Rattus norvegicus: one gene and its partner. The protein of the gene in region 1 purifies or fractionates together with the protein of each later gene. This does not show direct contact. Links are inferred from orthologs where the notes say so. Each region holds a gene or a part of one and is shown in the gene's direction. Other genes may lie near its edges.

What was found. The genes of interacting proteins can lie anywhere in the genome.
Region 2: the proteins of Atp6ap2 (region 1) and Atp6v1a purify together in Homo sapiens (co-immunoprecipitation; 3 studies listed by BioGRID and IntAct, with this or other methods). This does not show direct contact. The link is inferred for Rattus norvegicus from reciprocal best matches to the Homo sapiens genes ATP6AP2 and ATP6V1A.

Annotation. Positions count from the first base shown.
Region 1 is NC_086039.1:12,878,727-12,886,027, reverse strand, and holds the start of Atp6ap2 (renin receptor precursor), read left to right. Parts: upstream 1-2,357; 5' UTR 2,358-2,442; coding exon 2,443-2,482; intron 2,483-7,301. UniProt on the Homo sapiens protein: Multifunctional protein which functions as a renin, prorenin cellular receptor and is involved in the assembly of the lysosomal proton-transporting V-type ATPase (V-ATPase) and the acidification of the endo-lysosomal system.
Region 2 is NC_086029.1:70,064,244-70,071,672, forward strand, and holds the start of Atp6v1a (V-type proton ATPase catalytic subunit A), read left to right. Parts: upstream 1-3,258; 5' UTR 3,259-3,349; exon of another isoform or gene 3,350-3,363; intron 3,364-4,630; exon of another isoform or gene 4,631-7,429. Other genes in the region: Naa50 (N-alpha-acetyltransferase 50), read right to left, coding at 2,213-2,220. UniProt on the Homo sapiens protein: Catalytic subunit of the V1 complex of vacuolar(H+)-ATPase (V-ATPase), a multisubunit enzyme composed of a peripheral complex (V1) that hydrolyzes ATP and a membrane integral complex (V0) that translocates protons.

The DNA of each region.
Region 1 (7,301 bases):
ATTTGACATATGAGAGTGTTATTTTGTATTCTAACCTGCTTATAGTGGTTTTTTTTTTTTTGCTATTTCTCAAATTAAAATAAATCAGGATGTCCTAGGATTCTTTTAAGAGCAGAAAAGGCTGTATGTTTCTTTTGGTTGAATTTGTGGGAGCTCGGCCATCCCTAAATGAGATCATTTAGACACACTCTTGCAGGGCTGCTGGCTCTAACCTGTTCTCCAACATGCAGCAAGATGGACCAGAATGAATTTTAGCTGCTGTGCACAGAAGGGACTTTATGTTAAATTCTCTTTTATCTACTTATTTTGTGTTCTCTCTCTCTCTCTCTCTCTCTCTCTCTCTCTCTCTCTCCCCCTGTGTGTGTGTGTGTGTGTGTGTGAGAGAGAGAGAGACAGAGACAGAGACAGAGACAGAGATGACAAGTTTCAGGGGTTGTTGGGGCAGGGTCTCTCTTGTTTCTGATGCTATGTTGTATACTCCAGGCTAACTGGCCCTGGAACTTCCAAATCATTCTCTCATCTCTGCCTCCCATTTCAACACAGGAATACTGGGATGCACATCACCAAATCCAGATTGGTTTAGGAATCTAATTTAGTTTTACACAGCTCGTGCCTTCACCAGTTGAGCCAACTCCTTGGCCCTTGAAAAATGATTTTTAAATTATTTTTTTAATGTTCACAGCACAGCTGTGCTTTTGAAATTATCTGCTTTAGACTTTTTGGTTCTAATATAATAATTTTACATTCCAAATAGAAAGACAAACCCCCTTCATAGTCCTTTAAAGACACATGTGTGCAAATTCTCTGTTGAACAAAAACTCAAAATTGAGAGTTAAGAGCATTCTGAAGTTAAGTTTGGAAGTCCAGACTGCATTATAAATTGAGAGTGGCTTTGGTAAACATAGTAGTTTCTAGAAACTGCATTCTAAATAGTGGGGGTAGGGGTGGGGGGCTTTTGGTTCCAGCTCTTGGGCTGGCTAAGTTTCACCCAACTCCTGGAGCTGCTGCAGCCCCTTTGTTCTCCCTCAGTCGATTCCAAGGATAAAACAGAGCCGCTAAACTGAGGGTCAGTGAGCCATTTCCACTCAACCGAATCTATCTTACATCTGTGCACTGAACAACATTCAACCACCTCCTCCACTTGTATTCAATGAATTGTAGTTCTGCATACAAGTCACGATCATAAAAAATAAAAACATTTTCCTAGTTGAGGTAAGGCTCAGTGGGAGAGCCCTTGCCTAGGTTATGCATAGCTCTGGGGTTCCATCCCCAAAAAAGAAAGAAAGGAAGGAACAAACTAAAATTTTAGTTCTGTCCTCCTACTCTATAAAATCTCTTTTGTCAAAGTAAATAGTTAAACGTTCACCAAAGAAGGTATTTTCCCTACCATATACGCTACCCTTTTTCCTTACCTGGATCTTTTCACATCCTCCACTTACATATTAAAATCATATTCATCTTTCAAGGTCATCAGCTGGGGAGTTGTTTTCTAACCACAGATTATGTGCCCACTTTTTGCCTCACATCATAGGTAAGAGCCTATGAGCCAAGGGGTGATTTTGGTCTAATTAGTGTGTCTAGCCATCACATAGCCTCCCTGAATCGGATTAGAAACCAAGGGAGGATCGAATGAAATAATATTCTATCGGATCACTCCTTGCGTATGTAGTATTTGGAAGCAGGGTTGTTCAATACAGTAAATCGAAAAACAGGATACCCAGTTATATTTGACCCTCAGACAATGGATACTTCGTATATATAAAAATAAATAAAATAAATATTTCAGACACTAAAAATTACTCTTTAGAACTCAGATTCAAGCGGGAGCCCTATATTTTAAGTAGCACGTCTACTAGGCGGGCAGGGGTTCCCCCAGGCGCCAGGCTTCCTTTCCGCAGGTACTCAATGTCTGTGTACTCCGGAGAGCAAAACCTGAGCTAGCCCAGCGCTTTCCACAGCTGTCAGTCGCAGCGGGAGGGAGGTGCAAGATCGGGAAAGACTGATGCCCATGTTGAAAATCGTCACCGAAGGTTGGAAAAAGGATCCACACCTGGGAGTAAGCTTCACTGTGGGCTTTCGAGAACCTGCAACCGAAGGGGGGTACCTGCTCTAACCGCCGGCCCTACCCTTCATCTCGTGACCGGTCATTGTGGGCCGGCAGCACAGAACCGCCCTGCTCTTAAAACCTTTGACTCCTATTGGCAGAGCATGCCACTCATCACGTTAGTCCCCGCCCCAATTGCGAACGTCACCCAGGCTACGTCTCTCTCCTGTAGCGGCGTAGTTGGCGATTGGCCGAGACCTTGTCTTGGAGAGTCTAAAGGGGAGGGACTTGGGGATCGGAACCTTCGGGAGCGCGTCACTCGGTCTGACTGCGGTGCTCGCTCGAGTCCCGGCGTCCCTTTTCGTGTGGCTCATCTCCGCTTTAGCAGCCGTGGCACCATGGCTGTGCTTGTCGTTCTCCTCTCTTCTCTGGTGTCGAGTGAGTAGCCAGGAAGCACTGCGAGAGGCTAGGGGGCGCGGGGACCCTGGGCGGGAGCGGCTGCTGGCGGGGGCCGCAGTGGGGGCGGTCTGGGTTTGGCGCCCTCTTTGGGGTTCTGGACCTTGATCTGGCTCGGGCGGAGCGGCCTTGTGGTCTCTGGAGCCGGGCAGGGCCACCTTGGGGACTCTGGAGCTGGCATCAGCCTTTCGGGGAAATGCGCGTCGCTGGTTGGAACCCTGTCTCCCAATTTGCCGGATCACTCCTTCCCTGTTCGAGGCCCTTTGGAGGAAGGGTTTGCATTTCTCAATACAGCGTTCAGCCACGATCCACTACCAAGAAGGGAAGGTTAACTAACGATTTAGCTGCCGCCTGCTGCCGTCTTTTTTCCACCTTCATTTCTAATGGTTGTTATTAACAGCGGATGAAACCTTACCTCCCTCGTGTATATACAGATCAGGATGCGGAGTTGAGTCTTCGTGTTTTTTTTTTTTTAATATATATATAATGATTATGTCTTAAGATTAACGCAGACAGTTTCTTAATATTGATTTCAGTTCCCAATTTAAAGGGAGGGTAGGGTATGAGTCATGCTTTTAGAGTCACATGTCAAATAAATGGTAGCTTTCTGAGTGGAACCTATGTTCTCCAACGTGGAATAAGAAGAGTGGTAATGAGCTTATATTTGGCCTGTGGCTTGAGTATCATGTAGTAATGCATTTCATTTTACAGTAATCCTTTGAAGAAAGTCTCCTCATTTTGCAGAATATAAATCAAGGGCGGCATGACAAGGTTAATATGTATCAAAGCTGGATTTGAAGGCAGATCAGATGACTTCCAAGTAGAGGATGTCTTTCCACTATACGTGTATGGCACAGGGAATGCTCTGTGGCAACATGAAAATAGTGGGACAGAGACTGGGGTTGCAGACAATAGGATACAAGAAGTCAAGTGAAGCCAGGCATGGCGGCGCATACTTTTAATCCCAGCACCCTGGAGGCAGAGGCACGTGGATTTCTGAGTTTAAGGCTAGCCTGGTCTACAGAGTGAGTCCCAGGACAGCCAGGACTACACAGAGAAACTCTGTCTCAAGAAAAACTTCAAGTGGAGAAAAACTTGGAGGAATGGGTGCTTTGTGTCAAGGGGATACCTAGTGCCCATGCTGCCTGAGATGCTGAGAGGCCCTACTTTTGGGATAGCAGTTGAAGTGAAAAAGACCTAGTGATGGTTTTGAACACCAAAGCTCTTCTCTGCCCTGGAGGTGCCCAGCCCTCTGTGTTAATAGTTACATATAATATAAATTCAGGCCTCCAAAGTGTTAGGGTCTTTTTCATTGTTGTTGTTGGCTCTGGAAAGGCCATTCTGATTTAATCAAGATACTTTGGGGATTTTTCAAGGTACTTGGTAAGTGCTGGTCACAAAAGCATGATGACACGACTTTGAACCCCAGCACCCATATAAATAACTAGGTATAGCCGTGCAGGCTTAGACTCTGGGCTGGGGAGGTAGAGACGGGTGCATCTGTACAAGTTCTTTGCTGGCCATTGTAGTCTAATAGATGAGCTTCGTTTCCCAATGAGAGATAGGGTGGACAGTTCCTGAGGAAAGACACTGGAGGTTGACCTCCGACTCCACATGCTTGCATGTACATCCATGTGTATGTACGTAACACACACACACACACACACACACACACACACACACACACACACACACACTTTGGGATAATTCTTTTGTTTTAACTGGGTTTAAAAGTTAAAAACAAAACCTTTCCATTGACACTGTAGTTTAGCTGGACATCTGTTGAATTCCCTGTTTTAATATCCTATCTGACATCTTATTAAGTCCTAGCTGGCTCTGACCTCAGAGAGACCCGCCTGTCTCTGCCTTCTGAGCACCACTGTGTTCAGCTCTATGACATTTTGAGTCCGTGAGGTTTGTTTTTTTGTCTAAGGTAAAATAATTATTTCTCTATGTGGTTTGGAAATGCTATCCTTGCTAAAATGGTTTAGTTCATACAACAGCCTGAGCTTCTGAGCTGCTGGCTCTTGTCAGGTGAGGGTACAGTGTTATTTTCCACAATGACTAAGTGTGATTTGGTGGAAAACATCTTTAAGAGCTCAGATTTCACTGTTTACTTTGAAACAGTGTTAGGGAACTAGAAAGAACTAGGGAACCTGGGCTATGAATACCATGTTCTGAGGCATATTTGAAAAACTTCTGATATTTAGCCTGGAGGAAAAGGACCAAGAGTTAACCCATGGTATCTGTAGAGACTCTGTAAAGGAGGAAGGAGTTCATTTTGGTCTCTGATATCTGAAAGGACAGAAGCAGCCCCTAGTCCTTCTTAAAGTTGATTGGTTCCATTCCGTCATTCTTAGAAGCTTGCTGCACAAGACAGTGGAGTCTCTGAGGAAGAGACGCTAGCTCCTCTTAGACACAGCCTGGCGGAGGCCCAAGGAATGTTCCCCAGGTGTGGAAGGCTGAGGTGGGGGAATCCAAGCAGAACAGTATGTGCATGTAAGCACAGGGTAGTGAGAGCTGAGGAGCGGCGTTGCTGGAATCTCAGAAGTCAGGTCAGTGAGATAGCCAGGGGATATTTTGGTTTTCCCCCAACAAGACTCTAGGTAGTGAGCACAGGCATTTAAGCTGAGGGGTGAATAAATGGATTTGTATTTTGGAAATATGGAGCTGAGGGCAGGCTGACAAGGTCATAGGCAGCCAGCTGCAGCAAACCTGGTATGGGATGGGCATGGTGGTAGTAGTGTGTGTGTGTGGGGGGGGTCAGGAAATAATAAGAAAGAGAGTAGCTGAAAGCACTGGGTGATTGGCTGTGGTATGGCAGAAAGGCTTAAAGAGGAAGTATTCGAGCAACTAAATGGAGGAGAGCCTACAGAAGTCTTTGGAAAGCTAGTGAGTCCAGATTCAAACCAACTGTTGAGTTTGAGGGGGTAGTAAGACTTACAAAGAAATGTCAGTATTGTGTGTAGGCCTAAGGCTGGGGAAAAGCTAAACCGGGAATAAAAACCTAGGAGCTGGCTATTGTTGGGTGTTTTACCCCTTAGGGATAGGTGTGCTCAGTCAGGGAGTGTGATGTAGACCTCGGCTCTTTCAAATAAGAGAGTATGCCTCATGATTCAGTTGAGTGCTGGGAGTACGTACTAGAATTTCCATGTATGTGGGGATTTTTAATCCTTTTATTTTAAATAAGAATGGTCAGATTTTTAAAACTTGGGTTTATATCATGATTACATTGGGAAGAACACTGGAGGTCAAAATGTTTTGAGTGTGCTTTATAATACGGTATAGATTTGTAATCAATGATTGGACATACACGTATCATATGTATTACAAAAACAGGCAGACAGAACTGATATTGAAAGCCCAGCACCATAGCTTTAAAGGGTGGAGCAGGAAAACGCAACAGTCAGAGGAATTGGAAAGAAAACAGGGGGCCTCGTCTTCATGAAGGCCTAGGTGGGGTTTCAAAGAGGGACTCAGTGTCGGGTGTGGGGAAGTGAGGCAATTAAGGGCGGAGAATGGGGTTTCAGGGTTCGGTGTACTGTTTCAGGGTGTAGGCAGAGACTGGGGGGGACAAGGCAGGCAGCACAAGATAAAGTAGGAAAGCAAAGGACTGGACTATACAGTCAGTCCCAGGGTTCTTCCCCCGAAGGGAAGCATTTTGAGACAGCTTTTGTTTTGACAAGACACTTGTAGGGGGTTTTAGTGGTTCTAAGTTTAGGCAGCACATAGGACTTGGCTTTGTGCTGATGAGAGGGGAAATTTGGTAGTTCCGGGTGTGACTTCATTTGTTCATCAACCCAGCAAACATCTGCGGCAGTGTGTGTCAGCTGCTGTTCTCAGCTCTGGGACTGTATGAACAGGACACACTGAAATCCCTGCCTGCTTCCATGTAGTCACTTTTCTCTTGCTCTGTCATATGTCTCAAAAGTGGGTCAGTAAATGCCAAGTGAATAATTCCTCAGACAGAATGGAAGTCTGTAAGAAAGCCAAAGAGAAGATTGTGTTAGACAAGGTATTCTCGTGACTAGAGGGTGAAGGGCTGTGGCTAGGGACTTTAGGTGAGGAGAGCAAGTGGGTGGCCTAGAGTCTGTACGCTTTCTCCATGAAGCTGGGCACAGGTTATCTGGAGACTGACTGGAGGGGTGGAAGCCTACTTCAGTTCAGGACAAGGAAAAGGTTCCCAAAGAACTAGAATGCCGGGGCAGTGGAGCTGACCTGGCAAACAGTGTTTGTAAGTTGAGGTGGTACTCCCCCTGCCACTGGTAACATTTGGGTAAGGGACAGCTGGCTTTCTGCCAGGTATCCCTGAGGTGTGATGCCTGTAATGTGCAGAAGCTTAGACGATGTCACCCTTCTTAGGACCCTGACAAAGGGTTTCTGAGCAGTGGGCTGCTAAAGGAGTGTTGTGCAGCTGTGGTTGAAGGGAACCACAGAGGTGAGGCAGTTTCATCATGCCGTCTCATGGGGTTTGAGGGTATGGGGCCACATCTCAGAGTAAAGCTAGCTCCGTGTCCAGAGACGTTCCTGAAATGTGTCTGTGCTTGGAAAGTATAGGTTCCTTGCCTGTTTTCCCCAGCCTTCACAAACTATGCCTGAGGGATTACATTGTGAGTTTTGCCCTGGAGGCGCTGTACAGTTCTACTGGGTAATAAACCAAGATTTCTGTTGCCTACAGATGACCATTCCATTCTGGTAATTTTTTTTAAATTTGCCTTCAGCTAAAAGTTTAGAAATTGTTGCTCTGACCCTGGGCTGAACTGAAACTCCTAACTGGCCCTACTGTATTTGTACCAGCCTG
Region 2 (7,429 bases), on another chromosome or scaffold:
AATCAGTGTGTATTGGTGGTGGGGGTGTGTTCAATTTTCAAAACTTCAGAGTCCTCTATAAAACTGTTTGGTAAGCTCAATATACAATAGAAATTTAGCAAATAAAATTTCAAACAAAATCCATGGAATAGAGCCTTTCCAATAAAGTCAGCAGACTGAACACATAGTATTCAGTTATACAGGTTCTGTATCTCAAGGACATCAACATCTTAAAAAACAAACAAACAAACAAAACCAATACTGCCCTATACCCCGATTTCATTTCTTAAAAGGAAGAAAAATTAATAGTCCCATGCTTATTGGGAGTTAGGAAAAAATAAAAATAAAAAATCTATACCTGTAAAATCATCTTGAAATGTTTAGTCCAGAACCCAATTCTAAGCCCTCAATCCTGGGAAATAAAAAAAACTGACTTAAGGAGTCTTAATTTTGAGCCTAATTATTGGTCTAAAATATGGATTCAACAATTCCGAGTTTTCTCCAAATCTGCCCACTAATGCATTTCTAGGCCTCCATTATGTTATATATACTTAAATATCTACTCAAATAAAAAGAACCAGCTGGTAAAGGTGGTTCAAGCTCATAATACCAGCAACTCAAAAGGTTAAGGGAGGCAAGAAGATTGTTGCCAAGCTCAGTGTCAGCCTGAGTAACTTAGTGAGACTCTACCTCAAAATAAAGTGCTGAGGATATAGCTCAGTGGCAGGGTACTTGCAGAGCACTGAGTACTTTCCTTTAATTCCAAGAACTCCAGTTAGTTAATAAGGTAGAACTGCTTCAATAGTACCCTAAATAAAAGTTCAAATAAACAGCCAACACCACCACTGTGTGGCATCATTTCTATTGTCAAGTATCCTATACCTAACGAAACTGAACTAGACCCAAGATTTTTTAACCTAAACTTCCAGCATAATTTCTTAGTCTTGTTATCTTCATTGTTTTTACTATAACGGAACATGTCAAGTATGTTCTAAATGTGTAGCAATGAGTAGAAAAAAAATAAGAGTATCAAAGTGGTACTCTACTAGTAAAATAAAATTCCGAAAGATAACTGAGTCATATTTCTAAAAATTTCTAAAAGCATCCCGAATAGTGGCTCAGATGGAGCAAACATTCCCCCACCACCACCCAAAAAACAAAAAACAAAAAAACAAAAAAACCACTGAAATTAATAACTTAAAGCAAACCAGAGTTTAGAAAAAATGTCTTACATGCAGACTTAAAGTCAAAACTTTCTCAGAATCATTTCAGATATGAGGTCCCTCATTTTACAGAGAATGAGACGATTTATTTCGCTCTCCAAAAAACGATGCTGAACAATTTAACTGAAAATATTAGTAATAATTTTCAGCTGACTTAGAAAAACCCTTACGCTATCTCAAAAAGTTTAAGCTTTCTTTTTCCTCTAAAGATTGTAAAGGCAACCTCCAAAACTGGCGGTGCTAAATACTGAACAGTAATATAAATCAGTGGAAAGGAAATACTTTCAACCAAACGGGAACAGTTAAGCCAAAATAACTTCTAGCGTTACCGAAGATTTGAAAGATTAAACCTCAACTTTGCTAACGAAGAGTAAAAAAGCAGCTCCTCCTTGCACTGGGGGGCAACACACACCACTGAAGCAATAGCTCCACCTACTGATCCATGATACTTCCTTAAACATTTTGGCACCCCAAAGTCTACACCGCTGGAGTTCATTCCCCCTCCCTCCCTCCTCCACTCGCTCTGACCCAACCCAAGTCCGTTGAGTCACTAGCTCCTAGCACTCATCCTCCGTGCTCTTTATTCCAATTCCTTTTCCCTCCAGAAGGTTCTGCACGGCCCACAAGTATGAAGAAAACCGCAACGTGTCAAAGCCCGCGGCCACAGCATGGATCCCGGATTTGGATGAGCACCTGAGGCGGCTCAGTCGTGCGCTCCCGGGAAGAGGCCCCGGGCGCGTCCTAACACCTTCTCCCCGGGGTCTCATTCGGTGCACACTCGTTCTCCGGGTTGAAATCGTGGCCTCGCGCCCTTGCCTCCGCCGGCCCTTCAGCCCGCCAACAGCCGGCCTAGCCTCCGCCCCCCTCCGGGAGCCAAGGGACCGGGGAAGCCTCGCAATGTCCCTCCGCCAGGTCTTCGCGCGAGTCTCTTCCCCGCAGCGCTCCCCAAGTCCACCGACCCACGCCCCTCTCCGGTGCCCGCCGGACCCTCGCCCGCTGCCCTTCCTCACCCTTTCATCTTCTCCGTCTGCTGAGGCCGTCGTTACAGCCGCCACCAACGCCGTCGTCCTCGTCGCCCCGAGCTCTCCGCGCCCTAAGCTCAGGCCACTCAACCTCACACGCCGGCCTCTTGGCTGAGGGGACGACGAGGCCTCGAAAGCCAAGCCAGGCCCTGAAGCTCTAGAAGACGCGGGGAGATCTGCCGCCGCCGCGCTGCTGCCGCCGTCGCTTCTCCACACGTGCACTCCGGACACTCAGCTCCCGCCCGCAGCTGCCGCCAGCCAGACCCGCCGCCGCGCTGTGACCTTTCACCCCGCCCCCTCAGCGCGCCGGCGCGTCCGCCGCGTCGCGCGCAACCGCAGTGCTCGGCGCCGCCAGGACTCCACCCCCTCCTCTTTCTCCAGGGCTGGGCCTACGGTCGGCTAGCTCCACCCACCCTTTGCGACACTCCAGTGGAGCTTGCTTGGTAGGCTCCGGCGGTAAAATCCGGATTTTTCCACCCTTCCCTCTCTTTCAAACCAACAAGATCAGCCTGTCCCGCCCCCACCCACTTTCTAGACCTCCAGTGACCTTCAAATCCTCTTGTCCCCTAATAGGGTTTTACAAAATGGATTCTTCTCAATGTAAGAAAGCCTGTGGAGGCTTGCAGTAAATGTGTTTTAAATTCAAAAGGTAACGATGGGTCTGGATAATTTGGCCATCCTCCAGCAGGCAAACCTCACAGGTTTTTTTTTTTTTTGAAATCACGTGATAGGCTTATGCCTTCCAGCCAGGATTTTACTGGGGCCTTTAGAGGCGGGACTCATCGCCATTTCCGGTCCCTAGAGCGTGACTCAGCGTCACTTCCTTAGCAATGCACTTTAACCCTTGCCATCCTCGTTTTCTGTACTGTAGTTTATATAACCCAGTCATTGTGAAAAAGAAAATAACGCTTTTCCTAAATCGCGGAACCATTCACATCCAAGCAATCCGCAAAGGTTCAAGCCTGCGAGACGCAGCGTGCCTGGGGAGGGGAAGCGGGGTGGGGCTTGAGGTCACATGACTAGCTAGGGCTGACCCGCCTCCTGCAGCTGAAGACTTCCCCTCTCTCAGTGACAGAGCCTCTGGGTCCGGTCTAGGTACAGATTCTGCATTGCGAGCCCGGGCAGGTGAGGTGCGACAGGTAACTGGTGGCTGGTGGGAACGATTGACGGGGTGGGGTGAGAGTATATAGACACTGGGATGTGTGAACCGCGGCGTGCGGTGCTTGGGGCTCCTTTCGCGTTGTCCTCCTGCATGAGCGAGGAGCTCATTTTTCTAGATCTGCTGGACCCCTGACCCTTCACCTTAGTCCACGACGAGGGATTATGATGCCCACCTTTCCCTGTGTTGAGAGCGAGTGCGGCCATTATGGTTCCTTCTTTAGAGCATTTGGGGCTGATTCAGGTGGTAGAATTGTTTTAGCCATTTCTTGGGGGTCTGCAGCAAACGACGGGTCCCATTCCCCAAAGCTCCTTCCTTGGCAAAGGCCTTGGCCTGGTTGATCAGAATGGAGGAAAACCCCTGTAGGCAGAGGCGTCTCCGGTGAGACAGGCTTAGTAGGGAATGTCACTGATATGGCCCTCACTGCAGTCACACTGAAGGGCTTCCCCACAAATGTGCGTTCTCAGTGATTCTAAGGGTTTTGTCCGACATCCTTGCAGGAGAGGTTTAGTGAGTGTTTGGATGAGACTGGAAGGGTAAGAACGGGCCTTATTTCTTCGGAGAGAAGAAGGTTGTACAATCCTCAGAACAGGGTGTTGGTAATGCGACAGTCTCAGTTGAATGGGAAGGCGATGAAAGATGGTGTTACCTTTTTGGGCTGGAGACCCAGACTAGTTTACAGGAAAGTGACGAGGTTTTCCCGAAGGGGAAGTAATTCTTTGGAAACTGATCAAGCTGAAAACATAATTAATCCAAATCTATTTGCCTATAATTTAAAGGCAAGGAGAGTCTAGACATTACTGACTGTGGGTCATTCCTTTTTGACATTTCTTTTAAATCCTACAAGTTATGCCCTTCCCAATCAGTTTAAATCTGTGAAGAAATGCTTATGTTCCTAATTCACTTCTGCATTTGTTAAAGAGATTCAAGTGACCCTTCTCAGACTTGAGTGCATAATATTTTGTGAAAAGTACAGAAATTGTTTTGCTTAGGGTTGCCCAACCCTTTGTACTCCATTTTATATGCACCATAGTAGCCAATGTTTTCACCTCAAACAATGCACTTGACCAAAGGAATGTTCTTCAGTTTGGGGCTAAACTCTTTTATTTGTGCTACAAGCTTAGAAAGTTCATTGCTTTGAATCCAAAGGCCTTACAAAATCAGAGATTTGACTTTTATAACCTAAAGAATGCATTTTCTTATGTGAAATAAGATTTTTAGTTAAATCTCAGTTCTATGCAATGTAATTGAGGAATCTATTTTTTAATATCTGCTGAGGACTTGGGGATATGGTTCTTGCTTCCACTGCATGCTCGAGGCTCTTCACCCAGTCCTCATACTAGAAAGAAAAAAAAAAATAGGAAAAGGATGGAATGATTATCTTACAGTGATTGGTGCTCTTTTTTATCCCCTTCCAAATTTTCTTATCAGATTTTGTTTAAAAAGCTAAAAGCCAAAACCTTAAACTGATAACAATTTAACAAGATAGAAAGACTGGCCTATTTGCTACTTCTTACTAAAATATTGCCTTAATGATTTTGCATTGCCCAAATTACCATTGTGTGCTTGTGATCCAGACTAGACAATAGGTATGTTTCTATAACAAGCTTAAATATAGATTCTTAAATAGTTTGTTCCTTTGCATTGCTAATCATTCTGTGGTATGGATGGCACCACAGTTGGTTGAACCATTCACTTGTTGACATTTTTATTTGTGTCTGTTCCTGCACGTAGAGGCCAGAGGTGCCTTCCTTTGTTGCTCTCCCCACCTCAACCCCCCTTTTTTGAGCTAGGTTCTCTCACTGAACCTGACTCACTGATTCAGGAGCCTAGCTGGCCATTCAGCCCCAAGGATTCTTCTGTCTTTTGCCCTGAGCACCGAGGTTAAAGGCACAGTACCACACTTTACTTTTACATGGCCACCTGGGAGGCTGAACTCAGATTTTCATATGTGCAAAGCATGTGCTTTCACGACTGAGTCATCTCCTCAGCCTGAAATATAATTTTACCCATCATTTTTCCTCCAAAGTGAGAGAGAAAAAAAATTGGCACTGCTTCATGCCCATGTGACATTCCACCAAATAAACAGAATTCCTTCGTGTTTTAAAAGTCCAAACCAGTTCTGTGCAGGTGTACTGGGCTGGAGGAACCCAGTTTGAAAGCACTGAGTCCTGGTGGAGGAGAAGTTCATAAGAAAGGCTGGATGAGTCTGCAGTTTTATTTCACAGTTAATTGCTCCAGTTTTAGGGAACTCAAGAAAGCAGTACCTTAGACTTCTAATGAAATCGGGAGGATTAGCAAATCTGGAATTGGCAACCAAACAGCTAAGGAGAGTAAATATTAAAGAAGAATTTGATGCTGTATACACACAGATGGTTTGAGCGCTGGAAGGCATTTCTGATATTAATGAGATTTCTGTGTGGGTCTGGGTATAATGGCTCCCTCCTTTAATCTCTGCACTGGGTCTGGCAGAGTTCTTTGAGTTGAAGGCCAGCCTGGTCTACAAAGTGGGTTCTAGGCCAGCCAGGGCAACAAAGTAAGACCTTGTTTCATAGGTGAGAAGGCCTATGGGGGAAGGGAGAGACAGGGAAGGAGGGGGAAAGAGAGAATTTAAGGGTTGGGGCCCCAACGCCCTTTATTTCTTACTCTGAAATCTCCCTTAATTACCCTGTCTTTGCAGGGTGTCACCAGTGAACGTGTGTCCTTTCCTTTGGGCCACGGTAGCCAATTAGTCCTTTAGGCTGATATACCCAATATTCTGTATTTCTTTACTTCTCCATATAGGCTACTTTTGGTAGCTGGGGTATTCCTCAGTAAACCTCCCTGCAGTTAAAGAACAATCTGTCTCTGTTATATCTTCTGCACAAGGATGCTGAAGTGGATAGAAGAGGCCCTGTTAAAGCAAACAGAATACTGAGGGCCCTGATGGGTCGTTTATTGAATAAGCGTTGAATGATTAAAAAGGAAATTAAACTGCCTTAATTGTTACGAATTATAGTTCCCTAAAGGCTGTGCACTAAGTATTAACTTCTCAGTCCAAGTTTCCAAATCCTAAATAGAGTAGATATGAGCCTGTGTGGACTTTATTAATTCAGTAAGCACCTTGTTTCCACAGCGTGTCGCGCTTACTGATAATGGTAAGACCTATGGTTCAGCCCTAATGTTAGAGGATCTTCATTCAGTGCCTCCATTTTGGTCATGTGCCTTCTTAAGTGCAGCCGATGCTGGAAACCTCAGGCTTCCATACTAAGAAACTTTCCTCCCAAGGGTATTGTGAATGAGATAAGCCTAGATAATCAATTTGAGAGTAGTTTGAAAGCTAGATGGCAGTGAGCGTAACTTAGTATACTCAAACTTTTCCTGAATAGATTTCCCAATCACAGAGGCCTGGGATTAGGTTTTAGCCTTCCCTATCATTAACTGTCTGACCTTGGGCACTTAAAATGAAGTCTCTTTCTGTTTAAATCTAGCCCGTAGGTATTATCAAGGTAGATCATAAGTCTACAGTGGTTAGTACATACTTTATAAGTTTTTTTTAAACGGAGGTCAAGCCTAGCTTTCATCATGGTCTTCTTCCTGTCTGTTTCCTAAGTGCTGGATTACCGATATGTGCCACTCCACCAACAGAAGTTCTCACTAATTGAACGACATGCTTCAGTCATACACCCTGAACTTCTAGGAGAGATATACAGTGCCCTACAAGAGTGACAAAAAACAAAACGTTTTTGCACAAAAGGTTTCTGTTGCAGGGAATGGACTAAAATTTGAAATGAGTCTATCGTGGAAAAATAGAGCCAAAAGAACTTTTCTGGGCATGTTCTTTGAAGCTAGCCATGCTGTAACTCATATTGTTCTCAAACCACCAGACTAAGGCTAGTCAGTGTGCCTCAGCCTCCCAAGTGGCTGGACTGCAGACTCTAGTGCCAGAATATCTGGCTTTGACAGACTCCAAACTTGCTTAGTAATTAGTAGGAGCTGAGGAATAGCAGCATAATTCCCTTATTTTGGTTTTAGCTATAGTTCACTGGGTTTTTTATGTTAATTTT